2 linked regions of the Macaca mulatta genome follow. The protein of the gene in region 1 interacts with the protein of each later gene in a pairwise test. Links are inferred from orthologs where the notes say so. Each region holds a gene or a part of one and is shown on either strand. Other genes may lie near its edges. The genes, in order: GSTA4 and C13H2orf50.

What was found.
Region 2: the proteins of GSTA4 (region 1) and C13H2orf50 interact in binary tests that used the Homo sapiens proteins (3 or more experiments, as listed by UniProt). The two-hybrid records come from large-scale screens. The link is inferred for Macaca mulatta from reciprocal best matches to the Homo sapiens genes GSTA4 and CIMIP5.

The regions. Positions count from the first base shown.
Region 1 is NC_133409.1:129,379,392-129,395,795, reverse strand, and holds the start of GSTA4 (glutathione S-transferase A4), read right to left. Parts: upstream 10,224-16,404; 5' UTR 10,167-10,223; intron 9,213-10,166; 5' UTR 9,195-9,212; coding exon 9,108-9,194; intron 3,799-9,107; coding exon 3,747-3,798; intron 1,962-3,746; coding exon 1,829-1,961; intron 965-1,828; coding exon 823-964; intron 1-822. UniProt on the Homo sapiens protein: Conjugation of reduced glutathione to a wide number of exogenous and endogenous hydrophobic electrophiles. This isozyme has a high catalytic efficiency with 4-hydroxyalkenals such as 4-hydroxynonenal (4-HNE).
Region 2 is NC_133418.1:113,693,079-113,709,653, forward strand, and holds the start of C13H2orf50 (ciliary microtubule inner protein 5), read right to left. Parts: upstream 9,008-16,575; 5' UTR 5,190-9,007; coding exon 4,930-5,189; intron 1-4,929.

The sequences.
Region 1 (16,404 bases):
GTTCTCACCTCATAGGCGTGTTGCAAGAAACCCTGACACAGTCTGGGCCCTTGGGACCTAAGAATGAGCAGTGACCCTTTGCCAAAGCACCATGTCCTCTGTGCCCTTTCCAGACCACATTTCTGCATTATCCTATTTTACATTCACAAAGTGCCTGTGGGAAAGATACCATAAAACCTAGCTACAGAAACCCCAGAAAATACCTCTCCTTTTTCCTAAATCTAGTTCCACAAAGATGGTCACAGGAAGCTTGCCAGATAGGCCTTCCCATATTTTCACATCCTCTTATTTAGTGTTTGCACTGAAACACTAAAAATACTCCTCCCAGTTCAGGAATAAAGAATTGGAAGCTCAGAAAAGCAGATATAACAAGAAGAGAAAAACAACAAAACCAAAAACAAAAAGAGCAAAGGGAAGACAAATAAAATGGAAATGTTCTTCTCCTCATATCAAATTATCAGGGAGGATGTCAGCTATGAGATAGCTGTTCAACAACTGTTTGTTGAATGAATGAATGAGGCAGTTTCTGTTTTCTGTATCTTCTGAAGTTTCTGCTGTATCCACACAAGGTGGGAACTTGGTGAATGCAAGGAACAATAAGGGACACAGGCAGGGAGCCCATACTTTTTCTAGACTCCTGAATCATGTGGTCCTAGCAGAGTCTGAGGGGCTCTAAGACACCAGCTTTGTGCTGTGGCTACTATTAGCTCTTAGGTTAGTCCAACTGGGCTCAGTTTTAAAATGCTTGGACAGAAAAGGGTGTTTGTGGCAGCTTCTTTGTGGTTTGGTTACTCTGTGTACACAGGCATCTCTGCCACCTACCTTTTCAAACACAGGAAAGTATCTAATTATAGCCTTCTGGGCCATGTTAACCACTTCCTTTTGTTGATCATCTGGTTTTAAGAAAGGATGCATGATAAGCAGTTCCAGCAGATCCAGCGTCCCCTCCACATACATGTCAATCCTTAAAACAAAAGAGCAGTTGTCTCAGTTTCTCCTTTCTTTGAAGTCATTGGTTTCCACAACTAAGAATTCAGAGTGCTTTTTTTTTTTTTTTTTTTTTAAGATGCTGGCAACTTAAGTCCCTAGCAGCATTTACCTATACCTGTCTCTTAAGAGCAAAGAGATAAGGTCAATTCTAGTTGTAACTCACAAAAATCTGTCACAGATCAGACAGCTTGAGAGTCACGAGTGCTTTCTTCCTGGCATCCTACTCCTCCACCTTCACCCCAGCATCTGTGTTTTGGTCTCTTAGTATGGGTCAAACTTCATCTTCATGAAAATAGTGAATACCATTTATTGAGTGCTTAGAGTGTACCAGGCATGGTGCTAAACACTCTCCATTCATTATCTCATTAAATCACATGACACTATGAGAAATGTACTATTCTTATACCCACGTTGCCCAGGGTCATACATCTAAGGGGTGCAAGGACCAGGCTTTGAATTCAAATTATAATCTAATGGTCTCTAATGGTCACTCTCCCAGGCCTTGAACATCACAGCAGCTCCTCATTCCTAATACTTAACAACAGTGAATGTGTAAGAAAGGTAAAAAGCAGTATCAAAGCATTTAAAAATGTTGAAATCTGAAACGATGACACCCTAGATATAGTATTCAACATCTGAATCCAATTATTTTCTTTTGTTTTACTCAGACTCTCTCTACTGAAGTTCCAACTGGTCTTCGTGACCTTCTTGGATTTTTGCTCCCTGATCTCATAACTATGTAAGACATAAAGTAAATGTGGTGTGCTGCAGAGGACTGCTAATCAGCTAAGGCATCAGTAAGCTGACAAGTGACAACACTTGAGAGGGGCCACAGTACAGGGTTCTCTCCTTGAGGTCCTTGCCAAAGAGATTGTGCTTGTCTGCTATGTAGTGGAGAATGCTTCGGGTCTGTACCAACTTCATCCCGTCAATTTCAACCATAGGCACTTGTTGAAACAGCAGGTGGTTACCTGAGAATGGAAGCCCAGAGTTAGAAGTGATCTCTTCTTCTCTGTCCCCCAACCCCTAAAAAATGCTCTGTTGAATGAAAAGAAATGTGGAATCATGGCCTTAGGAAATAGTGTAAAGCTTCCAGATGACAGATAACTTTAACTTCATTCAGGAGAGCAGATTTAGCCACAAAAGAAACCTGAAGGGGTCAGGCACGGTGGCTCAAGCCTGTAATCCCAGCACTTTGGGAGGCCGAGGCAGGTGGATCATGAGGTCAGGAGTTCGAGACCAGCCTGGCCAATATCATGAAACCCCGCCTCTATTAAAAATAAAAAAATTAGCCGGGTGTGGTAGCTGATGCCTGTTATCCCAGCTATTTGGGAGGTTGAGGCAGGAGAATTGCTTGAACCCAGGAGGCGGAGGTTGCAATGAGCCGAGATCATGCCATTGTACTCCAGCCTGGGCGAAAGATCAAGACTCTGTCTCGGGGAAAAAAAAAAAAAAAAAAAAAAAGCCTGAAAACTAGCATTGTTATAAACGTTCCCTTTTCATTTTCACCCCAGGAAAAATACCTATCCACAGTGATAAGGGATTAAGGGGAATGTAGTGAAGATATTTCTTCAGTGCTACACAGGCCAATACAGCAGTCAAAGCTACATGCAGCTATATAAATCTAAATTTAAATTAATTACAATTTTTAAAACTTAAAATTCAGTTCCTCAGTTGCACTAGACATATTTCATGTACTCAACAGTCACACGTGCCTAGTGGCTACCATATTGGACAGTGCAGAATACAATGTTTCCTTCACTGTAGAATGTTCTGCTGGACAGCACTGTTTTTAGAGAATCTGATCATGAAACCTAAGTAACTAGCTGAGACTCATGTATACTCTTTGGCTCATGTATACTCTGTGGCTACTCTGTAGCCACAGAACAGATTGTTTACTACCAAGTTCGCTGTCACTAGTTAAAAAAACTACCCATTGTTTTCTTTAACAAATCTGAATCCAACACTTTCCACATACCAAACCCTGGGGAGAGATGCCTGTATAGGGTACAGCTTGGCCCTTGAGGGTTTGGGCATTCTGAACGGGTGAGGGTAGAGGGGAAAGGAGTACTTAGCACATGCCTAGTGGCTTCCAGCCACCGTCGCACACAAAAGGTGGCCTTACAGCCCTGGAGTGCTGGTACCATACAAGGGAGCCTCCAGCTGGGCCTGAGGACCCTGCTGTTGGCTGGGAGGGAGGCTGCTCACAGGTTGATGGGTGCACTCTTTATGGGTCTACTGGTGGCTCCTGCTATAATGGATGGGCAAGGAGGGAGCAGGGCTGACCAGGAATTAAAGGTGAAGGGAGGGGCAGTTCGTCGATTTCGCTTCTGTGTGGTATTCACTTCAGAAAGTATCCCCATTGCGGGTATTTATTTGCATACTTCAAACAGGCCAGGATGCCTCAGATAGTATGAAGGAAGTAGGGAAAGATGAGAAGGAGGGAAAGGGCAAGGGAGAGAAAGAAAGGGGGAGGAGGAGATTAGAGGGGAGAGAGGGGAGAAGAAAGGGATGGAGGAGAGCTGTTCACTTGGGTGGGGAAGGAACTACTCACCCCCTTCAGCCAGCTTTTATGGAACTATTGAATAAGAAGTGATTTCCTGGCAATTTCAACTATTTATTCCCTCTTGCTTTTTTTGGTTTTAGGATACTGTTCTGAATGTTCAGTGTCATTGAATATTTTTGCCCTTCCACATAAACAGCAGTTCTTAAAGGAAAATCAGTATTAGAGGCAGTTGTTTCATTTTCATACTCACCATCCTGCAACTTGTGTAACTGTTCTTTTGTTTCCAGAAATTCTTCATCAAACTAAATTTTAAAAAAAGAAATGTATACATACATAGTGGAATATTATTCAGCCATTAAAAAGCAAAATCCTGTCATTTTCAGCAACACGGACAGAAACAGAGGTCATTACGTTAAGTGAAATAAGCCAGACACAGGAAGACAAAGACTGAATGTTCTGATTCATATGTGGGAGCTAAAAAGGTGGATCTCATGGAAATAGAAAGTTATTGGTGCTTACTAGAGGCTGGGAAGTGTAGAGAGGAAGAGGATGTGAAAAGAGGTTGGTTAATGATACATAAATACAGCTAGACAGAAGAAATAAGATCTAGTGTTCAATAGTATGGTAGGCTATAGTTAACAATAATGTATTACACAGTTCAAAATGGCTAGAAGAATTGGAATGTTCCACCATAAAGGAAAGATAAATGTTTGAGGTGGGTAATGGACATCCTAATTACCCTGATTTGATCACTACACATGATATGCATGTATCAAAATATCAAATGTATCCCCCAAATATGTACATTGTGTATCAATTTTTTAAAAAGATATCCTCACCCTCCAAAAGGAGGTAAACATCATAGAGACTCAGGACTAAAAATACCAAGTTAAACAGTCTTAAGAAGCAGAGAGAAAGAGCAGACTTAGCATCCACATCTTGGTTTCTAAATATCACTGCCCCCTAAAAGGAACTAGGGCTCCTATAAAAGAAGGTTGATTTTGTTATGCCGAAGCAAGGAAGTGCTCAAAGGTGAAACAGAAAGGCATGGAGGGCCCTGTGAGGGGAATTCCCTACCAAATTTGGGAAAATTTAAGCATCAAAAAGAATGATGTCAATTATGGATTATAACATACAACAAAATATCTATGTCCATAAATGATGATGCTAAAAAAAAAAGGTAAGGAGAAGAAAAAGCTCTTTTTTACAGAAGACTTAATTAAGTTACTTAATTATGATAAAGGGAAAGTATCAATTTACAATGGAGAGATCGGGAGATCTCTCACCCTCGGTCTAACCAAACAATCAAACTTGGCTCCCCAGTGGAGAACACTCTGACATCCTAAGCCTTCTGTTGTAACACAGTGAGAAAGGCACAGTCACACCTGCTAAAACAGTACCAAAAATATTTACCCTGAATCTACGCGAAAGGTGAAAAACAGGTATATTCAGGATGTGGGACCTTACAAACATAATGGCCTGGACTTCTCAAGAGTCGAGGGCATGGAAAAAAAGTCAGGTCCTGTTGATGAAAATCAACTAAAGATACTTAACAACCAAATTGGAAGTAGATCTCGGAGGAGAGGAAACTGTTATAACTGCTAAACAGATGTGTAACAGTTAGACATTTGGGGGAAAATAGGGAAAATCTGAATATGGATTGCATATTAGATGTTGTGAAGGCAGCGTTAATTTTCTTGGTGGTGACAATGGTATTGTGGTTATTAGGACAATTATTTATTTTGCCTTGGTGTCAGAGGCGTGTGAACCAGAGCAACTTCATCTTGAATAGGAGCCGGGTAAAATGAGGCTGAGGCCTACTGGGGGCTGCATTCCCAGACGGTTAAGGCATTGTAAGCCACTGGATGAGACAGGAGGTCAGCACAAGATACAGGTCATAAAGACCTTGCTGATAAAACAGGTTGCATTAAAAAAGCCAGCTAAATCCCACCAAAACCAAGATAGTGATGAACGTGACCTCTGGTCGTCCTCATTGCCACACTCCCACCAGCACCATGGCAGTTTACAAAGGCCATGGCAATGTCAGGAAGTTACCCTATATGATCTAGAAAGGGGGGAGGCATGAATAAATCACCCCATTGTTTAGCATATTATCAAGAAATAACTATCAAAATGGGAAACCAGCAGCCCTTGGGGCTGCTCTATGGAGTAGCCATTCTTTTATTCCTTTACTTTCCTAATAAACTTGCTTTTGCTTTGCACTGCAGACTCGCTCGAAATTCTTTCTTGTGCGAGATCCAAGAACCCTCGCTTGGGGTCTGGATCAGGACCGCTTTCCTGTAACCCTGGGAGGAAGACACATGCTGATGTCTGCAACTACTTTGAAACAATTCAGAAAAAAAAAGGAAAGGAGAAAGCAAATTAGTAAAATGTTAAGAATTGGTGAATTTAGTTGAAAAACATTCAACCTGGAGGGGTGGGGGAGAATCAGGATCATAGGGTGGAGGCTTGGCTTCTGCTGCTTGCCAGGGTGGGTGCTCATGGTGTGAGGAAAGGAGACTCAGTGCTCCCAGAGGACCTTCATTTAATGCTCATGAACAGTATCCTTGGGGCAACAATGCTCGAAGCCTAGATGGTCAGATGTGGTGCAGGCAGTACTCCTGGATCAATTGACAATGTCTCTCAGATAGATTCAGTTGAGGAATTTGTCCCTGGATATTTGTACTACGACACACTAAAATCAAAAGTTAAAACATCATATTAGTTAACAGAAAGGGTTATTTATTTATTTTTTTCTTAGAGGTCTGTCACCCAGGCTGGAGTGCAGTGGCTCAATCACAGGTCACTGCAGCCTCAAACTCCTGGGCTCAAGGGATCCTGCCACCCTCAGCCTCCCAAGAAGCTGAGATTATAGGCTCAAGCCACCACATTTGGCTCAGAAAGTTTATAGGATATATGCAGGGACAAGGTGCTCAACTGATGCTCCTAGTTAATGGTAGAAATGGTGTACATCTCCCACATCTCAATGGGGATTTGCCTGGGTTTTAAGGGGTCTTCAGGCAAATAAAGTTCCAAGCATGGAAGAAACAACCAACTTACAGCAATGTCAATGATGACTCAAATTAAGTGACTGACCAACATTGAGGACTCCCTGAATTAGAACAGGCTGTTTTTCAGTAGGTTTTAGTGACCTAGTTACCCAGATGTGTGTGCTTCAACTTTAGGTTCAACTCAATCATGGGATATTGAGAATCATGGACTTGTCTGGTGGCTGCCAGCTGGTCCCTCCTGACTGTCTCAGATCTATGTGAGCACAAACTTAACTGGCGAAGAGATGGGGAGGGGCCCCCTCTCCACCACCCTGTAAACCATGTGGTTGCCCTGGGAAAGAGACCAATGCAGCTTCCTCCACTCTGGTCTGAGGAGTGGGCTCATTACTCTACCAGATCAGCCTGTTCCTGTCACAGATTGGACTGGGGTAGGTGGGTCAGATAACTCATGTTCTTTTTTTGTTTAACTTATTTAAGGTTGGGTTTTTATTACTGTAACCAAAAATGTTGACTCATAGGTGAGTAGGAGGGGCAGGGTAGAATGAAGAAAGAGAGAAGATTTGACAAAGGGTTATATCCATTCAAAACCTATGAAATGAACCAAGAATTACAAACTCAGAAGCCTATGGGGGTTAGACATATGACAGACACGAGTGAAGTCGGGCAGGTTCAGGTCCTGGGACCTTGAATGTTTTTCACTTTCCTCTTAATAGTTAGCAAATACACCCTGAGACAAGAGGGCGAGGTGGGGCAGTCCTTATTCAGATCCAACAATTGCTGCCCTGTGAAAATAAGGACTCAGGATCACCACATCTTCCAATTTCTAAAGACAAGTCAGAAATCAGAATTTGCATATGAACATAATGTCAACTCATTTAGAAAATTGTAAAACACCATGTGGCAAGTTATCATATGCAAAAAATAAAAACAAAAAACAAACACGAAACCCATAACCCAACAACTCACATTTGCCATCTTTGGAGGTTGCTAGGGTAACAACACATTATTGTGAAAATTTATAATCAAGCATTTACCTTGCCTTTCCTATATGAAGCACATTTTAAAGTAACTGAGTTTTAAAGTTTATGATTTAAACATAACATTTTTACACATTTTAAAGTTAATGAGTGACGAGTACTGTCTTAGAAGAGAATCACAGTTCATAAACTTAGGTGAAATGATAGAAATGAAAAGAATTGCCATTTTGTAAACCCTAACAGGGATGATGATCAATAGCTGCTAAAACCACAAGTTGAAAAGAAACTGGGAGAAACTATAATGTGTGGATTGGGGTTGACATCACAGGAACACACCGAAGAAGCTCGGCATCACTGAAAACGAGACAACCAGACACCAGACAGCCCCTGACATGGTACAAGAGAAGTGTGTTCACAGTATCTCCTCTGACATAGTCTGGCAGGAAAAAAAATAAAATAAAGAGAAAGAAAAAAGGAGCCTGAAGTGATCATGCCTCTGGGTCCAGCTAGTAATTTATGGGAAGTACAGAAAATAGAGGAGCATGTTCAAATAAGGGTAGCCTTACTTTACTATGTTACCTCAAGGCAACACCTGGAGGGTAAGTAAACCAAATCCAGAATAGGGAAAATTTTACAGGGCAGTTTCTTCCACAAACAAATGGCACTAGAAACAAACGTAGACATCTAGCACCCAGATCTTGACGTTAATACCTTTTCTTTTCTTTTTTTTTCTTTTTTATTTGTGACGGAGTCTGGTTCTGCAGTCCAGGCTGCAGTGCAGTGGCGTGATCTTGGTTCACTGCAACCTCCGCCTCCCAGTTCAACCGATTCTCCCGCTTCAGCCTCCTGAGTAGCTGGGAGGACAGGCGCGCGCCACCACACCTGGCTAGTTTTTGTATTTTGGGGAGACACGGGGTTTCACCATGTTGGTCAGGCTGGTCTCGAACTCCTGACCTCATGATCTGCCCACCTCGAACTCCCAAAGTGCTGGGATTATAGGTGTGAGCCACCGTGCCAGCCTGTTAATACCATTTTTCTATCTAAGAAATTCCTGATTCTAGGGCTAGGGCAGGGAAAATATTAATACAAGATGAGCACAGAGCATTTTATAGTGTCAAAAAGTGCTGAGAACAAAAAAGAGGCCAATGTGAAATAAAAAAAGGTAAACCTGAAAGAGCACCGTGGCCAAAGCTGAAACAATTTAGGCAATTTAGGTCATTGGACTATAATCTAAAGTATAAAATCAATATGCAAGCAAGATACCAAGGCTGCCAGTTTGAAGCCACTGAAGAAAACACGAAATTTACCCTAAGAATGCATAATAAGAGCTCAGAGTAACTGACAATTTCCAGGTACATTTCCTTTCTTCTTATTAATAAATATTCATTGGTGCTAGATCAGAAGCCAATAATTAAGTAACAGTCAAAAGGAAAATAGAATTCCACCAACTACATTCTAATGATAAAGAAAAGTCCCTTCAGGAATGGAATCTGATTCAGTGAAGCATGCCTGTGATTTTGGTGGACGAGAACGAGACCTGAATGGTGCTTCAAAACCTATTTTTCTTTCAAAGGTCTCAAAAAACTGTATAACAAATCTGTGAAGAAACAGCACATAAGGTACCTCGACTCCGGCGGCGGCTAAAACCCATCTCACGGACTCCATCCGGCCTCTTCCGTTGGGATAGTGGAGCTTGGGCCTTGCTGCCATGATAGCTTTTCAGGCTTTCTGAAAAACAAATGCAGCAGCTCCTCGCACACCAATAGTCCCAATTTCGCGTCTTCAACCCAGTGCTCGGGGCGAAATGAATATTCAGGATGTTGGCACGGGAAACTGTTCTTTATTTTTGTTTTTGCATTTTCCCTCACTCAAGAAAAAACATACCACCATTTTAAAACATGGACAAAAAAAAACCTTGGCTTTTATATGATTTCTATTTATGACTTCTTATCCTGGATCTTGGGAAGCTGGGGCCATTTGTTGTAAAAACATATGTGCTAGCAGTACGGGATTTCACAAATTCAGAACATTATATATTTTGACCTTGAGAATCTCAGATTTTCCAGATTCAGCTTGGGGATAGGGGGTGGCAAGCGTTGAAGAGGGTCGCGAAGGAAAATTGCACAGCCACAGGAACCTCTTCAAGTATTCATGCTTTTACATACATCATATTTTATTATCACGGCAACTGGAAGGTGAACAGGCCGAGTACTACTATTGTCTGCAAAATGTGCATCCATCGTCACGCATGCGGGGGCTGCCCCCCGGGTCCCACGTGTCCCCCACCCCTACTGGGAGATGAGCCCCCGGCCTTGTAAAATGAGCCGGGGCCAGGGTTTGGCCATCTGAGACTGCACTCTCCCATGCTCAGCTTCCCCGCTCAGCCCACGCAGGGGCGTAGCGGCCGCCCCACCAGGCCCTGGGGACCATCCAGGCCCACCTTCCACCAATGCATTCAGACTCCGCAGAAGGGGTTAAAAAAAAATACGCACACTCCAAAAAGGACCCCAGCTCCAGCCAACAGGCCCACCTCTGCCCAGACTGGAGATGGAGGGCAAAGGACAAGAGGGAGAAAAAAGAAGGACTGAATTGGGGGGATGAAGGAAGAATGTGAGAGTGAGACTCGGAAAAAAAGAAGAGAGAAAGGGCGGGGAAGGGGGTGACCGCAGGAGGGAGACAGACCTGGAGTCCGCTCGGAGACCTGGAGCCGCACAAAGCGCAAGGCCAGCAGTCCGCGGCTAGGCGAGACCAGCAGGCGGCTCTAGCGCGCGGGAGCTGGGCGAGGCTCCGGAACGACCTCACCAATAGAGACTGCAGTATTTAGCATGCCCCACCCATCTGCAAGGCATTCTGGATAGTGTCAAAACAGCCCGAAATCAAGTACGTTTCTCTCAAACTTTAGCATTTGGGGAATAAATGATATTTGCTATGCTGGTTAAATTTGATTTTAGTTAAAATTACCTGCTGAAGCTCTAATACGATAAATAACTTGACCTAAGTGTAAAGTTGGAACTTCCTTCAGGTTTATATAGCTTGTGCGCCGCAACGAAGTCTCGGATGTGAGGGCGATCTGGCTGCGACATCTGTCACCCCATTGATCGCCAGGGTTGATTCGGCTGATCTGGCTGGCTAGGCGGGTGTCCCCTTCCTCCCTCACCGCTCCATGTGCGTCCCTCCCGAAGCTGCGCGCTCGGTCGAAGAGGACGACCATCCCCGCTAGAGGAGGACCGGTCTTCGGTCAAGGGTATACGAGTAGCTGCGCTCCCCTGCTAGAACCTCCAAACAAGCTCTCAAGGTCCATTTGTAGGAGAACGTAGGGTAGTCAAGCTTCCAAGACTCCAGACACATCCAAATGAGGCGCTGCATGTGGCAGTCTGCCTTTCTTTTGATCCATGACCCTTTTTAAAAATTAATTAATTAATTTTTTTATTTTTATTTTTATTTTTATTTTTGAGACGGAGTCTCACATCTGAGACTGCACTCTCCCATGCTTGGCTTCCCAGCCCAGCCCACGCAGGGGCGTAGCGGCCGCCCAGTCAGGCCCATCTGGGCCCACCTTCCACCAACGCATTCAGACTCCTCAGAAGGGGTTTAAAAAAAATACGCACACTCCAAGAAAGACCCCAGCTCCAGGCAACAGGCCCACCTCTAGGCTGTAATCTTGGCTCACTGAAACCTCTACCTCTCGGATTCAAGCGATTCTCCTGACTCAGCCTCCCAAGTAGCTGGGATTACAGGTGCGCGCTACCATTCCCGGCTAATTTTTGTTTTTTTTAGTAAAGACGGGGTTTCGCCATGTTGACCAGGGTGGTCTTGAACTCCTGACATCAGGTGATTCCCCTGCCTCGTCCTCCCAAAGTGCTGGGATTACAGGCGTGAGCCACCGCGCCCGGCCCTTGGATGCGTTTTAAACAGCAAGTACGCAATGCTTTCCTGACAGGAATGTTAAGTCCGTCAGGAAATCCACATACGGGTGTTAAGTAGGCTAAGTACCACATACAGATTAAAATCGAAAGAGCCGTCAACCCTTATTTAATTTAAGCAGTAGACACTAACTTCTTTCTTTCTTCATCTCAGTGGGACAGCTTGAGATTTTTCTTCATTTTGTACATTTTAGAGTCACGTGCTCTATAGTCATGGCCTCAAGTCAGCACCTGCTTGGAAGGGGGGGTCTTTGGGGTTGGGGGTGGTGCTAAAAAAAAAACTAATTTGGCTGGCAAGTTAGTTAAAACGTTGAAAATATTTTAAAACTATCAGGGCTATATTATGGAACAATTGCGAAATTCACATGGATTTCAAAGTTTGAAATACATGCCTTCGAAAATACATCTTGTTTTTAGAGGCAGCTTCTGCTATTTCTCAGGCTATAGATGCTATTTTCTTCACCCACAGGGGTGCTCGAGAGTACCTTGCTTGACAAGCCTGGGTGCTGAACAATTGCAGCCGCTAGCTAACATGATCAGATTTTATTTTCAGTAGGTTTCTCTGGCCAAAGTGAGGCGAATGAATTGGGGTAGTAGGGGTAGAGAAAGAAACCTGTTGTGTCTGTGTAAATTAAAGTAGCACCATGCGTTTGAAGAAAATGGGTAAGAAAAGGTGAAATAGTAAAGAGGTAGGTGGTAAAGGATTTACTAATCAGGTCAAAGGGAAGGGAGGAGGAAGAAAAGTCTAGAATGATGCCCTGTCCAACACACACACACACACACACACACACACACACACACACACACTTCTTGTCTGTTTGTTCTGCACTTGTATCCTGGAACTTAAAGTAAAATTAAAAAAAAAAAGTCAACTACATCTTAAGATGTCTATAGCTGAGGAAATAGCTTAATGATACCTGGAAGGACAAATTCCTATGACAGTAGAATGTCCAGATGTTCCAATATTGCATAATGCTAAATGCCTTTAAGGTAATTATAGTCATGCTTTCACGTACTTACGCATGGAAATGCCAAGGATACCTTTCTTTAAATTAACAAAGTACTAATTTTTTTCATTCTGTTAGCCTACTTGCACGTAGACATTGCTTAGCTTACCTTTTACATAGATAAGACCCCTATCGAATAAAAAACAAAGAGGAGGCATTCCTCCTCTTGCTTTCTGAGGACGCTCTACTCTATAACTGAGTAGCTTTCAATAAACTGTTGCTTCTCATGGCACTCTGTGAATCGCCTTACATTCCTTCCTGTGCGAGATCCAAGAACCCTCTTTTAGGATCTGGATCAGGACACCTTTTTCTGGCAACACTCAGCCTTGTTCACCTGAAAGTGTAACTAAGGTAGCAGCATGACTCTGTTATTACACAGGCTTGGGGAGAAATGAAAAATCCTGTTATAATAGTTCTGCATTCTATGACAGATACCCCAAAGGCATTTTATTCCTTTGAAGCCCCTGACATCGTCAACCTGCTTATTCTTGAAGACCCTTAGAGTTGCCCTCATCCTGAGACAGTCTTACTCATTTTATCTATCTATTCTACCTACCTATCCACCTACCTACCTGATACATTTTCAGAGGCCCTGAGAAATCTTCTTAGTCTCAACCCTTCACTCATCTGCTCAGTAGTAGGTAAAACTCCTTGCACAAAAGTCAAGAGCTTCAAATCTCAGTTTAAGAGCTTTGTATACTCCCAGAAGAGGGAAACATTTGACTTAAATTCAGCCTTAGCTATAAGTGATTGGTGTAAGACCCTATTCTAACAAGTGGGTTTTCTTATCAGGAAAGATGGTTGAGAGCTTGAAATGGCTTCTTCAGGGTTTCTGAAGGGGCAGCCATGGGCCCAGCGTGATGCCAAAAAGACAAATGCCCATGATTACACAGTAAAGTCACTGTGTTCTGATGGCAAGAGGCACAGTTAGGGATTCACCAATGCAAGTTTGATTGGTAGATCATGTTCCTAGAAAATCCTGTCAAGGAGTCAAAGAATGTTTAGAAAATGCATTTCTTGTGACATTCTTTCTGTAGTTCACGAAGTTATGAACTTCTTTTAAAGGTTTATATTGTATATGAGAATGTGCTGTGAAAAGCTAAAAGACATACAAGGCAGGTTAAAATGATGAAATCAGGAACAAGAAACTGTTTCCACCTGCTTTTGCTTTTTTGTTGTTGTTGTTTGTTTTTGTTTTTGAGACACGGCCTTGCTCTGTTGCCCAGGCTGGGGTGCAGGGGGGTGATCTGGGCTCACTGTAACCTGTCTCCCAGGCTTAAGCGATTCCCCTTCCTCAGCCCCTCAAGTAACTGGGACCACAGGTGCACACCACCACACCGGCTAAATTTTGTAATTTTGGTAGAGATTTTTGGTAGAGGGTCTTGCCATGTTGCCCAGGCTGGTCTCCAACTCCTAGGTTCCAGGGATCCTCCTGCCTCCGCCTCCCAAAGTGCTGGGATTAGAGGTATGAGCCACCACTTCCAGACGCCTAACTTTCTAAAAGCTGAATTTTAAAAAAACCTCCACATTGCAGGATAACTCTTCATTCTGCTACTCAAAGTGTATGCATCTAATTTCATAGCAGTAACACGATACTAAGCATTCAGGAGAAGTTATAAAACATCAAAGTTCCAAATGAACTAACAAAGGACAAAAATTAGAAAACACGAATGGAAGAACATGAAAACAAAAACAGAACACTCAAATCAATTTTTCTTAAACTTCAACTTTATTTGGAGCAGGAAATTTTTCCTTACATAAAGTTGACATTTTTAAACACCTTAGGACAAACTATTTAAAAAGCAACATTTTTATTTCAGAAGGGTCTTGCTTAAGTGGTTACTCTGAATTCTTCTCATTATTATGAATATTTGCTTTATAAATAAATATATTGTCAGTTACTCCATTGTAATCAAATCAGGTGACTAATTGCTATCTGTACTGAGTTATCTGAAATCAGAAGACTTGATGCAGGTCATTTAAAATTCACATTAGCACAGTGTCTGTAAGAAATTGATAATACAGATTAATATGATATTTACCTCCAGTTTGTCTTCCTAATGGTTTCCATGAGAAGATCCTCACAATAAATTATATAACAGTACAGTACATTTGGTTGGAAATTGTAAAAATAATTCTAAAAATTAGCTACATATATTATGTTGCTACAGTATGGTTTAAATGATATAAAATAATTAGTATGTCAAACATCTTCTTATAAACATATTGCTTTTGGTCATACACTGAACTGAAATGTACAGCATAAATTCCTTTTTTTCATCTGCTGAATGGCACAAAACAATGGCTTGATGGTAGGGAAATGCTACTTCATGAGAAAGCATGGTGCCCATCAACTCCAACAGTACCTGTATGTGCACTTAAAAATAAAATAATTCTTATTTTGTGTTGTCTTGATTGCATACAATTTTTGATAACTCCAGAAGATGACATAGTGTTACCATATTAGATGTATATAGTCCTTTAGGCAAGAGATAAATTTAAAAAATTATTTGAAAATCAAGTTTCTTCCAACATAAATTTTATCATACATGAGCTGGGTGAGGGCTTGGTAATTAATGGAATTTTACTGTAAAATGAACAATCATGTTAAGAGTAGTTTTTATGCAAATGCAGTTTTCCCTGCTCTGCTGGCTCTACCTGGGGGACCTCGATACCCCCACAGCGCACCTTTGTCACTGAACTTCTGTCTCATTTCAGCACGAAATGAGAACCAACCCTGTATCATTTCCTGACGTCCCAGTAAGCTTTCTGACTGTAAATGAGGTATAGTCCTGATAGGTACAGTTACAGGTATATCATTTCTGTTGGTGTCTTACATTACATTTTATAATTCTACAGTAACAAAAAATAGAGGTCACAAGTAGCATTTTGTTTTCATATAACAAGAAATGGCTGCACAGATTCTCAGTCAGAACAAAAACAGAGAGACAAAAGAAATGGTTACTATTCCCTTCTATAGCGCATAGGTTTTTTACACAATTGGTCCTTTACCCATTTCAGAGAGGGGGAGGAAGAGTACTTCACAGCATTTGCTAGTTAGAATTTGTTTTCTCCGTCTTTTAGTTTTTCTCAACTGCACATCAGCTACTTGATTTTTTTATAAATATGTTTGGCTTCCCCAGGGAAGTTGTTTGCTGGTAAACAAAGGAAAGTGTAAAAGGAAGAAAGCAAAGTATTTTCTGAAGTTGGGCCCTATAAAGTATTAGAAGAAAAACAATTTTATAATGTGTAATAATCAGGTAACTAGGTTTTTCAATTAAAAAATGTAATGACCTTATATAAGCTAGATTACCGAGACTATGGTATTAAACAATCCATTTGCTCCTCTAAGGAATATTTACAATTTAAAACCTGCTTTCCAGCAAGCTGGGCAAGGTTTCACATTAATTTACTTTTCATATATAATACAGAAAATGAAAATAAATATTAACCTTATAGTAAAGGACTCATCTCTGAAAACACATTTTCTGATGCTTTAGATAATGAGTTGAGAATATAATACAGAAATGAATTCAGCTTCAAGTTGTGCTTGCATATATATTTTCTGAAGCTTTGCTGCCAGCTTGTCAACAGGAAAAGACCACCTATCACATCCACATCCATTATGTGCTTTTCTCATGCCCCTAGGGACCACGGTGCTTGGTCAAGTATATTTTTGAGTCAGATTCTCCAAAGCGTAAATTACTCTCTGATTTTAGGTTAAGGCTCTTTGGAAGCCATGGTAATTTGTTCAGAATGAATGCAACATATTATTAATATACCAAAGCAATAATTTACCAAGTCATTAGGTTGAACCATATGAAAGTGTCTAGATTCATTTCACCTATCATTTTAACCTATAAAAATGATCACTTGGCTGGATGCAGTGGCTCATGCCTGTAATCCCAGCACTTTGGGAGGTGGAGTAGGGTGGATCACGAGGTCAGGGGATCGAGGCCATCCTGGCTAACATGGTGAAACACCATCTCT
Region 2 (16,575 bases), on another chromosome or scaffold:
AAGAAGGTGTAATCGGCTCACAGTTCCACAGGCTGTACAGGAAGCAGGATGCTGGCATCTGCTTAGCTTCTGGGTCCGTCTTAGGAAACTTACAATCATGGTGGAAGGCAAAGTGGCAGCAGGCAGGTCACATGGCCAGAGCAGGAGCAAGAGAGAGAGAAGGGAAGTGCCACACACTTTAAAAGAACCAAATCTGGTGAGAACTCCCTACTGTGAGGACAGCACCATGGGGATGGTATAGACCATTTATGAGAAACCGACCCCATGATCCAGTCGCCTTCCGCCGGGCCCCACCTCCAACAGTGGGGATTACAATTCAGCATGTGATTTGGGTGGGGACACAGATCCAAACTATATCCACTGCTGTTCCTTAATATTTTCTAAAATTTAAACTTATCTATGGACTTCCTATTATAGGAGATGAAGAGTTAGCATTCTTACTCCTGCCCTTCCCTTTGTTCTTTCAAAATCATTACAGATCTTGGTTAAATTGATATATGTCATTTTGATTCTTATGGTTATGTAAATGTTATTCCCTGATGAACTAAGGAGTGCAATATACCCCAATTCTGTTCTTGTATAACCTTGTATTCTTTCTAGAGCTAACAGAGAAATTACATTTCCTCCCAATTTTTTTTAGGCTTCTATGTACTGATCATTGATTCCAGATGTTCCAATAAAACTGAAAAGTCCCTCTCAATATTATTTTCTACACTGTCATGTGCATCAGATAATAAACATTCCTTTAAAACCTTTCTTAGCCTCCTCGGAAGCCCCGTGTCCTCCTGCTCCCACTGGCCTGGCCGTGCCTCAAGATCACAGGCTGGTCCCTTCCTTCACCAACACGCTGGCATCCCCCTCTTTGGGAATTCCATGTCTTATTTTCTTGTTAATGCACCTGTTTCTGTGGAGCACCTACTCTAGTATCTGTGGACTCCTGCATTTCTTTGGTTCTGGAAAATTCTCACTTACTTTCTCTTTAGACATTTTCTCTCTCCCATTCTCTCCTTTGGGAGTTTTGATTAAGGATAGGTTGGAGCTTCTTGTTCAGTTTCTCTACATTTTTAATTCGTCATTTGTGTTTTCTGTCTTGATTTTCTGAATAATTTCTCCTGTCTTGAGTTTATGAAGTCTGACTTCAGTTGTGTCTTATATTTCAACTTTATATATTTTTATTGCTACAAGTTCTTTCTGTTTTTTGGTTTCTTTGAGATGGAGTCTCACTCTGTCGCCCAGGCTGGAGTGCAGTGGCACAGTCTTAGCTGACTGCACCCTCTGCCTCCCGGGTTCAAGCAACTCTGCCTGCCTCGGCCTCCTGAGTAGCTGGAATTACAGGTGCATGCCATCATGCCTGACTAGTTTTTGTATTTTTTAGTAGAGATGGGATTTCACCATGTTGGCGAGGCTGGTCTCGAACTCCTGATTTCAGGTGATCTGCCTGCCTCAGCTTCCCAAAGTGCTGGGATTGCAGGTGTGAGCCATTGTTCCCGACCTCTTGTTTCATTTTTTAAAGCAGCACTAGAACATTTAAGCTATGTGTCTGGCTCACATTGTATTTCTGTCAGGCAGCACTGCCTTACACATTCCTCTTTGGGCTATCCAAACCTTGCAAAACTCTTTCCCCTTGGTCTTTACACCTCCTTATGCCCCTGGCTTTCTTCTCTGGTGTTTCCTGGCAGCATCTCTGCCTTTCTAGTAAACGTTGCAAGTTCTGTCCTGCATCCTCACCTCTTCTGATCCATTGTGCTCTTCCGGGGAGAGCTTATTCACATCGCTGGGGCCAATGCCCACTCGTTTCCTGCTAAAACTGAGATAGAATTTGCATTCCATAAGATTCACTTTTTAAAGCACACAATTCAATGACTTTAATATATTCATGGAGTTGGGCAACCATCACCACTTTCTGATTCCAGAACATTTCATCACCCACAAAACACCTTGTGTCCATTCGCAGTCAGTCCTCATTCTCCCCTTCTGGATGGGTTTTTAATTCACAACTCCTCACTCTCACACTCAACTACCTCCTGGCAGCTCTATCTAGACGTGGTTCGGGCATTTAAAACTCACCAGAACTCAGCATCTTCATCATTTATCTTCTCCTCCCTATTAATCATTCAAGCTGAGACCTGTCATCCTTTATTCCTTCCTCACCTTTCCTCCCACATTTACTTAGTTTATAAATATTTTCTGTCATTCTGTAGGTTGCCTTTTCACTCTGTTAATTGTTGCCTTTCACTGTTAATTGTTGCCTTTGCTGTGCAGAAGTTTTTCATATGCAAAAGAATGAAATTGGATCCTTTCTAACATGATACATACCAATCCACTCAAAAACATAGAAGGACGCTTCATAACATTGGGCTTGGCAATTATTCCATGGATATGCCACACAAAGGACAGGAAACAAAAGCAGATAGACAGATGGGATTACATCAAACTCAAAAACTTCTGAAGAGCAAAGGAAACAAGCAACAAAGTGAAAAGGCAACGCACAGAATGGGAGACAACATTTACAGATCATATTTCTGATAAGGAGTTAATTTCCAAAATGTATAAGGAACTTCTACAACTTAGTAGCACAAAACCAAATAACCCAATTGAAAAAATGGGTTAAAGACTTGAATAGACATTTCTCCAAAGAAGATAAATAAATGGCCAATAAATATATGAAAAGATTATCAATGTCACTCATCATCAGAGAAATGCAAATCAAAACCACAGAGGTCAAACACGGTGGCTCATACCTGTAGTCCCAACACTTTGGGAGGCTGAGGCGTGTGGATCATCTGCTGTCAGGAGTTCAAGACCAGCCTGGCCGGAGCTTGCAGTGAGCTGAGATCGCACCACTGCACTCCAGCATGGGTGACAGAGCAAGACTCCGTCTCAAAAAAAAAAAAAAAAAAAAAAAGACCAGCCTGGCCAACATGGTAAAAACCTGTCTCTAATAAAAATACAAAAATTAGCCAGGAGTAGTGGAGGGCATCTGTCATCCTAGCTACTTGGGAGGCTGAGGCAGGAGAATTGCTTGAACCTGGGAGGCAGAGGTTGGAGTGAGCCGAGATCACGCCACCGTACTCCAGCCTGGGCGACAGAGGGACACTTCATCTCAAAACGAAACAAAACAAAAAATCACAATGAGATACCACCTCACACCTATTAGGATGGTTGTTATCAAAAACCAAAAGACAATCAATGAGTGTTGGCCATTGTGTGGAGAGACTGGAATGCTGAGATACTGCTGATGGGAATGCAAAATGGTGCCACTGCTATGGAAAAGACAATGGAGGTTCCTCAAAAAATTAAAAATAGAGGTAGCATATAATCCTGCAATCCCTCCAATATGGTTTGAGTGTTTGTGCTCTCCAAATCTTATATTGAAATGTGATCCCGAGTGTTGAAGGTAGGGCCCAGTGGGAGGTGTTTGGGTCGTGACCGGCTTGGTGCCTTCCTTGCGGTAATGAATGAGCTCTTGCGCTATTAGTTCACAGGAGAGAGCTGGTTGTTAAAAAGAGCCTGAAACCTCCCCCTCTCTCTCTGGGTCCCTCTCTTACCATGCAACACGCCTGCTCCTCCTTCACCTTCTGCCATTATTGTAAGCTTCCCGAGACCCTCACCAGAAGCCACGTGGATTCCAAGACTATGCTTGTACGGCCTGCAGAACGGTGAGCCAAATAAACTTATTTATAAATTACCCAGCCTCAGGTGTTCCTTGACAGCAATGCAAAATGGACTAAGACATCCATTTTTGAGAATTCATCCAAAAGAATTGAAACCACTCCCATGTCCATTGTAGCAATACATATAACAGTCAAATGTGGAAGCAACGTAAAGTCCATTGACGAATGAATAAAGAAACTGCACATATATACATTCAGCCTTAGAATGGGAGGAAATTCTGTAATACGCGACAAGATGGATGAACCCGGAGGACAGGATGCTAAGCTAACAAGACGGACATGGAAAGTCAAATATTGCACAATTCCACTTCTATGAGGCACTGAAAATAGACTACTGGGAGTAAAGACTAGAATGGTGGGTGCCAGAGGCTGGGAGGAGGGGGAATGGGGCGTTGCTAATCCACGGGTATGAAGTTTCAGCGGTGCAAGATGAGCGCTTCCTAGAATCTATCAGGCTGCTCATTTAAAAATGCTGTGTTCTTGCTTAAAGATCATGCCATGTACTTGCTTAAAATCCTGGATGGTGTCTCCTTTGGAAAAAATGCATCCAGACTTTTACGAGGGCTGGGGTGGCCCCCCCGGCTGCTCCCCCTTATCCTGTGGCCTTCCTCACTCCCTGTGCCTCAGCTACACGAATTCTTTGTTTTGTTTTTTTAGATACGTCAAACTCTTGGCTCCTTCTCCTGTTTCATGTCTCAGCTTAAAAGTCTCCTCAGAGAGGCCTTCAGCCGGCTCTCCCCCTAACCCTGAACTGTTGTTTCCTTCTTACCGCTGGTCACATTTCTTACAGATTTGTACTTGTTTGCTTTTCTGCTTGCTTTTTGGCTGCCCTGTCCGGAGTATGAAGGCTCCGTGGAGCCATGGCCAGGTCAGTCCCTTGTTGTATCTGGTCTCCTTTCAGAGCGGCTCATGGGGATTTTTGGTTGAATGAAGGCATGAAGGAGCATCTTTCCCAGAGTCAGGTCAGATGGCCAGCGCCTCTCACCCAGACTAGGCCAGCAGGCTCCGGCTCCAGGGAGGCGGGGCTGCTCGGACCCAGCCGCATCTGATCCTGGCCTCCATCTTCCTGGCTTCCTAGGCTCAGGCTCGGGTCTGGCTCTGGGCTGGGCCGGTGACCCGCCTCCCCCCGGGCATGCCATGCTCTCTGTCCCTCAGCCCGGATCAGCTGCCCAGCCATCTCCCTTTCTCCAAAAGTTTCCCCAACTTGTAGTCAGGTTGCGGGGGTCAGGGTGGAGAAGGGAGGGCAGGGACTCACCAGCGCCGCTGGCCCCGACGCTCGGCCTCCAGGAGCTCCCGCCACAGCTGGTCCTGCTGCACGCCGCCACCGCAGGCAGCTCCCTGGGCCACCCGCTGCGCCTTCAGAGCCTGGGGGGCCTGACAGCCACCAGCAAGACCCCTGCTGGCCATAGGGCCAATCCGGGCAGCTGGGGAGACAGACGTTGGCGGCCTGGTGGGGGACAATCGGTGCCCAGGTGATGTGGTTCTCTGGAGCCCAGGGGTAGGGTGGCTCCCCATGGGTGCGTGTGTGTGTGTGTGTGTGTGTGTGTGTGTGTGTGAGAGAGAGAGAGAGAGAGAGACAGAGAGAGACTCCTGTGCCTGAGCTCAGCTCAAACCTCCTCCTGGAACACTCTCTCCCTCCTAACCCCGGGACAGCCTGGGCAGGGTCCTCCTCACTGTCGCTTTAGGCCTCGAGCTCAGAGTGGCCGATGGGGAGAGCATTTGAGCCCAGTTTTGTTTTGAACTCCCGCCTGTGTTGACTGTTGTCCTGGGAACGGGCAGCTCCCAGGAAAGAGGCGGGCCCGTGTGTGCGTGCGGGTGTGTGCGGGTGTGTGTGTGTGTGTGTGTGTGTGTGTGTGTTTGTGATCTGAGCCCTAGGGCTGGGGGGCAGAGAGTTCTTGAGTAGATGCCACGCCCAGTTCAGCAGCCCCCTACCCCGAGGCCGGAGTCCTCCGAGCAGGGTAGGGGAGGAGGAGGGAGCGAAGCCGGGGCTCCTGGGGGCCACCCCCACCACTGTCGCACTTGGCTTCCGGCAGCCGCCTTCAGGCCGTGGGGCGATGATAGTCCTGTGCTGCCCCCTCGTGGATGCTGCGAGGCTTGCACGAGATGGTGGCCCTGAGGGCGCTCTGGGAATTGTGGATCAGGCATCAGTGTGAAGCTTCCTGCTTGTTTGGGAACAATGGCGGAGGTCATGAGCTTCTGTCGGGCGAGGGAAAATGAGTGCAATGCACTAGGAACATCCGCTCTGTCTGTAAACCCGGAGCGTTCACACAGCACTCTGCTTTATGTCTGAGACCTCCCAGCCATGCCTTTCCAACGCCATTCTACAGATGAGGAAACTGAGGCCCTTACCGGCAAGATTAAGTGACCGCCCACGGTCACACAGTCACCAGCTGAAGGGAACAGGGAGAACCTGAGGGCTCACGGTCCGAGCCCTCAGCCCTGTTTCTGTTCTAACTGGGTGCAGCCAGGCTCCCTCCGTGGCAGCCTCTCCTGGTCTGGCTCAGCTGAGCTCCAGGGATGCCCGCTGCTCTCATCACTTCTGCCTCCTGCACTCTCTGCTTCCGGTTCTCTGGGTTTCGTGCCGTTCCGGTAGGTGCTGGCAGATTCACAGTTCCTTCTACGCAGCTTCTCTGTGGGTCCATTCAGCTGGGCCGCTGCTTCCTATCGTTGTACAGGAAGAGCTAAGTGCAGACAAAACCCTGATGAATAGAGGCCTGTGCAGAGTGCCTGGGGTGCAGGGCAGCAGGGCAGCCAGTGAACCACAGGGCACTGTGGCCAGTCCTGTGTGCCCCTGCTGGATTCTGCTTCTGTGAGGGAGGCAGCAAGGAGTTGGGACTTCACAGGTGAAAGGACTTGCCAGGTAGAAAAACTGGGGTGACCACAAAAGCTTGGATGCAAGAGAGAGCCTGGCATTTTGGGAGATGTAGGGGAGGAGACAAGGACGGGGGTGGCAGGGCACATGGGGGCAGGCCCCGGGGTGTTTTCCACTGTATCCTGTACCCAGTGGGGAGATACTGATGGGCTGTGAGCCCCAACGGAACTGCAGGGAACAGAACCATCAGGAAAGGGGTAAGAAACAGGTGAGGTCGCCATTGCCATGGTGTGGGTAAGCAATGGCAATGAAGCCCCTACCGGGCTCAGGTGGAGGGCTGGCGTGGAGAAGACAGGGCTGAGAGCCAGGCCAGAAAGAGCTGCCAGCTTTGTCTTCCCACACTTGCGTGAGGATGGAGCTGAGGGGTGTGACCTTTTGGGAAAACATTAGTCTAGAATCAGAGCTGCAAGCCTGGGACTCTGTCTGTCCTCTGTCCCTCCCCTCAGAGCTGGGATGACACAGGCTGGCATCTAGTGACTTAAATTTTCCTGGTAAAGATGAGCGCAGCAGGAGCGTGGCAGGGTGGGCCGCTGTGTGCTGCTCCCATGGAGGTGTCTGTGCTCCCTGCACCGCGACGACAGGTTCCTGCCATGCCCAAGGAGCAGCGGCTCTGACTTCCCTGAACCCCCAGCAGCTGGGTTCTAAAGACACCCCGTGAGTGTCTTTAGAGAGGACAATGTGTCCTGGGAGGCTTTGTCAGGCTGACTGCAGGCTGTAGCCCCGAGCAGCTGGGAACAGCCATGCAGTTTGCTCAGATACCTCCAGCCCTGGCCACAGGCTCTAGACACAGGGACCAGGACAAAAAAGGCCAGCAAGGGCATCTGCGACAAACCATCACGACTGATCGAGTTCCTGATGTATGTAGAGGCTAAATATCTCCACTGAGTTTTTTTTTTAGACGGAGTCTCACTCTGTTACCGGGGCTGGAGTGCAGTGGTGTGATCTTGGCTCACTGCAATCTCTGCCTCCCAGGTTCAAGCGATTCTCCTGCCTCAGCTTCCCGAGTAGCTGGGAAAACAGGTGTGCACTGCCACACCCAGCTAATTTCTTTCGTATTTCTAGTAGAGACAGGGTTTCACCATGTTGGCCAGGCTGGTCTCGAACTCCTGACCTCAGGTGATCCACCCACCTTGGCTTCCCAAAGCGCTGGGATCACAGGTGTGAGCCATGGCGCCCGGCTGGAGATTGGTTCTTAAAAATTAAAATATAATTTAAAAACCATTTCAGACCGAGAGTTGATAGAGGGCTGGACTGATGGGTGACAAAACAAATACAATACAACGTAACTGTAGAATCTAGGTGGTGGGCATATGGGTGGGCATATGCTGGGTGTCTGAAAAACTTCAAAATAAAATGTTGAGGGGAAAAAAACACCTCACCTGCCAGTCCAGGTCAGTCACTGCCAGTCTCTTTTCACATGTCCTTATCCCTGGAAAAACATCCAAATTCACTCTGGGTGCGCCTCAGTGAGCCCCAGCCTGGGAGGACCCACGCCGCCCTGCCCCTCCCGCAGCTCTAAGGCTGGCCTCACCTGGGGATCAGGACACCGGGTTCCAGTCCCTGCTCTGCCAGTGACTTGCTCTGTGCCCTTGAGCGAGGGCTCAGGGCACAGCCCACATTTTGTGGTCTAACTTTACATGAGACTTACCAGGGGAGCACAAGAATCCCTGCCTTTGGGAGGTTGCTGGAGTTGTCTTTGAATGGGTTTTCCTCAACCCTAAAAGGCTTAGCAAGTTCAGGGCCTTCAGCTGGGCGAGGAGAACGTTCCAGCCCAGGCAGCCACAGGGTGGCCCCACCAGCCCGGGAGCAAGGACACCTGCGATTCACAGAGCGCGACGAGGCTCCGCCCTGCGAACCAGCCCCGCCTACTTCCTGTCGGCCCCGCCCCTTCCCGGGTCGGGGAGCGAGGGAGGGTCCCGAGCTCCGTCCAGCTCCGCGGGCGCAGAGCCCAGGGGCCCCGGAGCTTGGGAGCCCGCGGGAGAGAGCTGAAGGGGCGGATCCGTGGGAGGTGAAGGCAGGGGAAATGCGTGTCTGCATTTTTTAATTTGCAGGGGATATTTTCTGTCCCTTTTGTCCCCGAAGCCTCTGCTTTTTGGATGAAAAGTTGGCTTTACTACCCTCTCTCTCCTTCCCGCGCGCACACACCTTGGAGGCGTCATACCAGGCGGTGACCGCAGAGGAAGCATCCAGCGCCACAATTCTTGCCTTGTCAGCTGCTCCCGCCAAGTCCCCAGAAAGCTCCCGGTTCATCAGAACAGCAACATTAAAGGAAGGCCCAATTTATCTATGGAAAAATCTGCTCCGGCCTTCCTCTTGTAGCCCCAACCGTTTTCACTTATAAGTAGCCGCTTTGGGTCTAACTGTTGGTTCTACAGTTGCTGTCAATGTGCCCACCATTTTGTACTCAGCTTAAAATTGTTTGTTTGTTTGTTTGTTTATTTATTTATTTATTTAGAGGCAGAGTCTCGTTCTATCACCCAGGCTGGAGTGCAGTGGGACACGATCTCTGTTCACTACAACCTCCACCTCCTGGGATCAAGTGATTCTCCCGTCTCAGCCTCCTGAGTAGCTGGGATTATAGACGTGCGCCACCATGTTCGACTAATTTTTGCATTTTTAGTAGAGACGGGGTTTCGCCATGTTGGCCAGGCTTGTCTTGAACTCTTGACTCAAGTGATCTGCCCAACTTGGCCTCCCAAAGTGCTGGGATTACAGGCGTGAGTCATCATGCCTGGCCAAAAAAATTGTTTTTAATGTATCAGCAACATCTTTTCATGTTTCTCTTTACAATTTTTTTTTCTTTTTTGAGACAGGGTCTTAACTTTGTCACCCAGACATGGTCATAGCTCATTGCAGCCTCCATCTCCCTGGGCTCAGGGGATCCATCTCAGCCTCCCAAGTAGCTGGGACCACAGGTGCTTTATAAGCTTTACACATCTCATTGTAGCCAGTTTCTTAGAGTTGATGCACCATAATGTGTTTAACTAAATTTTTCTCTTCTTGGACATTTAGATTTTGTTCAGGTTTAGCACCAGCTGTGATAAGGGTCTTCAAGCCTCTGCTTCCTGCTGTGGAATTGTTGCCACAGGACACATTCCCCGATGGGATTACTGAGTCAGAGGAAGTGGACGTTGAGTGGCTTTCAACAGACAGGCTGTGTTGCTCTCATGGTGTCCATGCAGGTACCACCAGCAATGTGTACACATACAGGAAGCGCCGGCTTCCGTGTAGTCTTGTTGCCATGGCGTGTTGGGGTCTCTGAGACCACCCTGGGTTTGACGATTGGCTAGGAAAACTCGCAGGACTCAGCATACAGTGATACTCAAGGCTATGATGTATTACGACAACAGGACATGAAGCAAAATCAGCAAAGGAAAAAGGCACGTGGGTCAAGTCCAGAGGAAAGGGAGTGTGAGGGTCCAAGACCCTGTCACACGCTGGACGCACTCACTTCCCCCAGCAGTGTGTTGGGACAACACATGTGGAATGTCATCTGTCAGGGACACTCACTAGAGATTTGGCACCGAGGATTTTACTGCAGGCTAGTCACAAAGGCACCCTCTGCCTAGCATGTACCGAAATTCTGGACTCCCAGTACGAAGACATAAACCACAGTGTTTACACGGTTTAGGGGCAGTGAGCTGTTCTTATCCGGGAAGGGTGGGAACACTCCCCAAGTCAATTTCCCAGATACCAACCAAGGGCCAACCTTGCAAGCAGTCCTTGCTAAAGATGACATTGCTATAATTTGTATTTCTTTCATTTTTCTTTTGAGGGTAAATCATGTCGGTATAAAATAATGAGACGGGACTGGGCCATCCGAAGGTTCATTCACTGTCAAGGCTGGAGGTTGATGCCAGCTGTCGGCTGTGACCTCAGGTGGGTCTGGCGGCCAGCTGGGGCCCCTCCGTGTGGCTTGGGCTTCTCTCCAATGTGAAGTGGCTGTGTTTCAAGGATGAGGAACTGACAAAGAGGGAGCCAGGTGGAAGCTGTGTCACCTTTTCTATCCTAACCACAGAAGCCACCCTGTGCCACTTCTACCACGTTCTGTTTATTAGAAACAAGTACAAATACTGGCCCATATTCAAAGGGAGGAGAATTAAACTCCACTTTTAATGGGAGAAGGATCAAATAATTTGCAGAGGTTATTTAAAACCATCACAAACAGATTTGGCATGTTTAGGCATTTATTCTACACACACACAAAAAAGATACAAATGTGCAAAGTTACTTGAGACTATTTTCTGCTGTATTATTTGTGTTAGTAAAAAAAAAAAAAAAAGGGGGAAACAATCTAAATGTCCATCAAGGGCCAGGTGCAGTGGCTCATGCCTGTGATCCCAGTACTTTGGGAAGCTGAGGCGGGTGGATTATCTGAGGTCAGGAGTTCGAGACCAGCCTGGCCAACATGGTGAAACCCCATCTCTACTAAAAGTACAGAAAATTAGCCGAGCGTAGTGGTGCATGCCTGTAGTCCCAGCTACTCGGGAGGCTGAGGCAGGAGAATTGCTTGAACCCTGGAGGCGGAGGTTACAGTGAGCTGAGATCACGCCACTGCACTCTAGCCTGGGCAACAGCAAGACTCCATCTCAAAAAAAAAAAAAAAAAATTCATCAAAAGGTGATGGGTTATGTTACTTGTGTGTCTTTACTATACTTATTACTTGTAAAGATGTCGTCTATATAATGTCAAGCAAAACAAACATGATAAAACAATAACAAAACGTGTTGCAAAGTGGTATATGTGGTCTGATTCTGGTGTTGTTATCATGAGTTGAATGCATGGAAAAAATCTGAACAGACATGCTTCCTCCTGTGTCTACTGCATATCTTTAGGGAGTAGGCCGGAATGCAGTGGTGTGAACATGGCTCCCTGTAGCCTCCAACTCCTGGGCTCGGCAATCCTCCCACCTCAGCCTCCCGAGTAGCTGGGACTACAGGCATGCGTCACCATGCCTGGGTAGTTTTCGCATTTTCTTGTAGAGACAGGGTCTCACCGTGTTGCCCAGGCTAGTCTCAAACTCTTGGGCTCAAGCAATCTGCCTGCCTTGGCTTCCCAGAGTGCTAGAATTATAGGTGTGAGCCACTGCACCTGGTCAATCATGTTAACGCCTAAGACATGACTGTCAGGGGTAGTGGAAAGAGCACAGAATTAAGAATCCAGAGAACTGGGTTCTAGTCTGTCTAGGCTCCGACCCCACCTTCCTGGGCTTTTTTTTTTTTTTTTTTTTTTTGAGACAGGCTCTCCCTCTGTTGTCCAGGCTGGAGTGGAGTGGTGCCATCACGACTGACTATAGCCTCCCGTGTCCTGTGATTTTCCCACCTCAGTGCCCTGAGTAACTGGGACCACAGGTGTGTGCCATCACACCCAGCTAATTTTATTTATTCTACTGTGGTAATGGGGTCTCACTATGTTACCCAGGCTGGTCTCAAACTCCTGGGCTCAAGTGATCCACCCTCCTCGGCCACCAAAAGTACTGGGGTTATAGGCGTCAGCCACTATGCCCGGCCTGGGCCCATTGGTAAGGATTATTCAGCAGTAAAGATAGTAAATGTGTGACAGTCTTTCTCGGATTATGTATTAGTTTGCCACAGCTGCCCTAACGCAATGACACGAACTGGGTGGCTAAACAAGGGAAATGTAGCATCTCACAGTGCTGGAGGTTAGAGGTCTGAGAAGAGGGGTTGGTGGGGTTCATTCCTTCTGAGGCAGTGAGGGAGAACCTGTGCCAGGCCCCTTACCTTGCTTTTGGGGCCTTCCTGGCAATCTTCAAGTTCCTTGGTGTGTAGAAGCATCACCCTAATCTCTACCTTCATCTTCACATGGTGTTGTTTCTTCGTGTGTCTCTGTTTCAATTTCTCCTTTTTTGTGAGGTCACATTCATACTGGATCTCAGCCCACCCTACTCCAGTATGACCTCATCTGAACTCCTCACATGGACAGTGACCCTGGTTCCAAATAAGGTCACCTTCTGGGGTCTGGGGATTAGGACTTCAATGCAAATTTCAAGAAGCACAATTCAACCAATGACAGATGATACAGATTTGAATTCCTTCTGGGATCTACTCAGGGATGAAACCGACCTTGTATGGCCAGGCGTGGTGGGTCACGCCTGTAATTCCAGCCCTTTGGGAGGCCGAGGCAAGTAGATCACCTGAGATCAGGAGTTCCAGACCAGCCTGGCCAACATGGCAAAAACACAGCTCTACTAAAAATACAAAAGTTAGCCAGGCATGGTGGCACAAGCCTGTGATCCCAGCTACTTGGGAGGCTGAGGCAGGAGAATCACTTGAAACCGGGAGGTGGAGGTTGAAGTGAGCTGAGATCACGCCAGTGCACTCCAGGCTGAGTGACAGAGTGAGACTCCATCTCAAAAAAAAAAAAAAAAAAAAAAAAGAACCAACCTTGTATTCAGCCCCCACTGTACATCAGGCATTATTTCCAGTCCTCACCTCATCTCATTCGGTGAACAGTATTAGCTCCATTTTATGGATGAGAAAACAAAGGTAGGCTGAGTGTCTTGTGCAGGGACACAGGCAATAAGTGGCAGGCCTGGCATGGAATTCACGCATACGACTTCTAAATTCTGTGCTTTATTTGAACTGCAGAGCTGGGGCTTGACTAATACTTGACTACGCCTAAGTTTTTTTTCCCCAGGAACTTCCTTGATAATTTTCATTAAATAGACCTTACATTTTCAATCCAGTCAAGCCTCTGGGAGATAAGTTAAAAATTCCCTGATGGATAATGACATTAAAAACAGCAACTGGTACACTGCTTTAAAAGTGTGCTTTCGTGCATTTCCCTTGTGAAATATTGTGACAGCCTCATGAGGTGGAGCTGATCACATATGGATTTAGGGGCAGAAACTGGAAGACCACGACCCACCTAGACCACACAGGCAAGAAATGGACCCCCAGGACCAGAATCCCTTCTGACTATAGTTCCTGGTCTCTTCTTGAGTTGTTATTTACAGAGAAAAAGCATCTCACATAAACAGTTTTACTTCAGTTATCAAAAAGATACTCAATGATCTATATTTCAAAGACTCTAGATTCATGGGAGTTGGGGAAATTTTAAGCATTCGGAACGTATTCTGGAGCATGTCTTTATGTTCTTTATTCTGTAGCCTCCCATGGGTGGGCAGCCGAATGCGTTTTGGGAGAAAGCAGGTCTTGTGGATAATATTTCTGAAGATCGGAGCAGGTTGTGTCCAAGTCCATGTTGGCCATGACTGCAGAACGCCCCAGAGGCAGCAGGGGGCACCCTGGAGCTTTGTATCCTCCCTCCGACCCGCGGCATCTCCCCTGGCTCCACCATCCCCAGGTGCCCAGAAGCCGGGTGTCTCAGGTCAGACGCACGCTGGTTCGCTATGGCCATTTCTGATCAGACACAGAACAAATGGATTGTCCAGATACGGTGTCTGTGAAAGGAGCCCAGCTGTGGGCCTGGGGAGGCAGGTGCCCTGGCAGGGGTGACATTCTTAACCCACAGGGAGGGCCCAGAAGGGATGCGGGAGGCCACCTGCCGTGCAGCATTCGGGGGTCTTGGAGGTGGGCAGCAGCTGTTGACCTGTGAGCGTGGAGGAGCATCAGCGCTTGAACAGCGGAAGCAGCATTTACAGGCCAACACCAGCCCGGCAAGGGCCGGGGCCCAAGGCTATGGTGTCCAGAGCCTCCCAGCTCCCACTCTGGCCTCCAGTGGCCATGGAATTGCTAACTATGAGGGCGCGAGCTTCTCCCAGCAAGTCAAGGGGACGCTATGTGCTGCGATAATGGGTCCAGCCGCCTTGCATTTGGCCTTCCAAGCCCCTCTCTGAGCCCCAGGACTTACCCACACCAGCCGGCCCATGCAGGGTGGACCTAGCCTGCGTCAGTCAGGCCTCATTCTGGAGCCAGGCTTGGTGCAAACTCCCAGCTGAGCTCACACGCTGGCTGCGGTCTGTGATACTTCCCTGGTGGTCTCTGACGGGGCCGTATGGCCTCCCTCTGGAACCCAGGCTGCACACTCCAGGAGCTGGGGGCAGTCAGGCAGAATCAGCCTCTGGTTGCCAGCATGGGGTGTCAGGCAGGGTAATCCATGGGGGAGCCTGGGGAGAGAGGGCGGGGGTGTGGCACTGGTCTCAGGCTGGGGGAAGGAATTCACACCTGCATGGCTGAGGCTGGTGCCACCCCCTCTGATCACCGGGATCAGCCTCTCCTTCCCCAGGCTCAATTTGCACCCGCAGCCTGTATGGTTGGCACTGTCTCCCGTGGGGAGCCCCTGCCTGGCTCAGGGGAGACCCCGGTCCAGAGCCCACCTTTGGAGCTGCCCTGGCCTGGGCCTGGCCCTCCGGTGAGGCTGCAGTAGCCAGGAGAGGGCCAGGCAGAAAGGCCATCTGCCTGCAGGGGTTTCTAGCCAGCAGGCCAGGGGAAGGAAGTTGTCAGGCGTCCTGCGGGGAAGGCCAGGGTTGCAGACAGGGGTGGCAGTCAGCTCCATGTAGCTCTGGGACCCAGGTGTGTGGCAGGGCCAGGAGCACGTTCTGCTGCTTTTCCACACCCGACTCCAGTTCATTTCCCTGAGAGACCCTTTCACCCATCCCGGCCTGCATCTGCCTGTGTCGTCCTTTCCAGCAGCAGCCTTGTGGCTGTGCCTATTCTGTGCCCTCCGAGTTCTAGGTTGAGGGTGAGGATTGGATGAGTTGATCCACGCAAGGCTCCTAGCACAGTGCCTGGCACATGGTTAAATAGACACGAAGTCGTAATAACCAGGTGTGTGACCCTGTCCTCAGTGTGAGTGCCACAGTGGGGTGGAGAGTGGCAGCTCTGCCGGGCAGGATCGTAGGGTCTCAGTGACAGGGCTCCCTCATTTCCCTGATAGGGAGAGAGTAAGCTCACTGAATAGTAAGTTGGCTGCATCTTTTCTGTCTGAGCCTCTCAGGGAAGCTTCCTAGAGGGATAAAGGCTTGAGCTTGAACTTGGAGGAGTTTGCAGGTGGCTGGGTTGGGGTGGGGGTGGGATGGGGGTGCCAGCATGCCAGGCAGGGGGAGCAGCATGGGCGAAGGTATGGAGATGGGGGAGGGATCTGGACGGGGTGCCTGTGGCTGCAGCACAGGGCGTGTGTGAGTGGGAAGCAGGTGAAGAGAGGAAGAGCGCAGGGGCTTCTGGGGGCTTCTGGACCCACCGTGGGAGCAGGCCAATGGCTGGCAGGGCTAGGTGGTGCAGGTGCCCCTCATGGATTTGGTCGAAGTGGGCACACATGCTTATGTCAGAGGCATGTAAACCAGAGCAACTCCATCTTGAGTAGGAGCTGGGTAAAATGAGGCTGAGACCTACTGGGCTGCATGCCCAGATGGTGAAGGCATTCTAAGTCACGGGATGAGATAGGAGGTCAGCACAAGATACAGGTCATAATGACCTTGCTGATAAAACAGGTTGCAGTAAAGAAGCCGGTCAAAACCCACGAAAACCTAGATGGGCATGAGAGTGACCTCTGGTCATCCTCGCTGCTACACTCCCACCAGCGCCATGACAGTTTACAAATGCCACAGCTTTGTCAGGAAGTTGCCCTATATGGTCTAAAAAGGGTAGGCATGAATAATCCACCCCTTGTTTAGCATATCATCAAGAAATAACCAGAAAAATGTGCAACCAGCAGCCCTTGGGGCTGTTCTGTCTATGGAGTAGTCATTCTTTATTCCTTTCCTTTCCTAATAAACTTGATTTCACTTTACGGACTCGCCCTGAATTCTTTCTTGCGTGAGATCCAAGAACCCTCTCCTGGGGTCTGGATCGGGACCCCTTTCCTGTAACACTTACAGCTCTGTACACCTCGTGGGTCTTGGAGGGAGGCTGGAGACAGCCCAGGGCTGAGGGCACCCCCTCCGTCAGGGGTAAGGCTGGTGCCTGCAGCCTCAGTCTCTGCCCCACCCACCAAGGCGGAAGGCTGGCCCCTAAGGAGGAGTGATGCCCCAGCGTCCTAAAGGAGCAGCGGGAGCTCCTTAGAGTGGTGGGAGGTGGAGGCTGGTGGGGGTCAGGGTGGGAAGTGGGT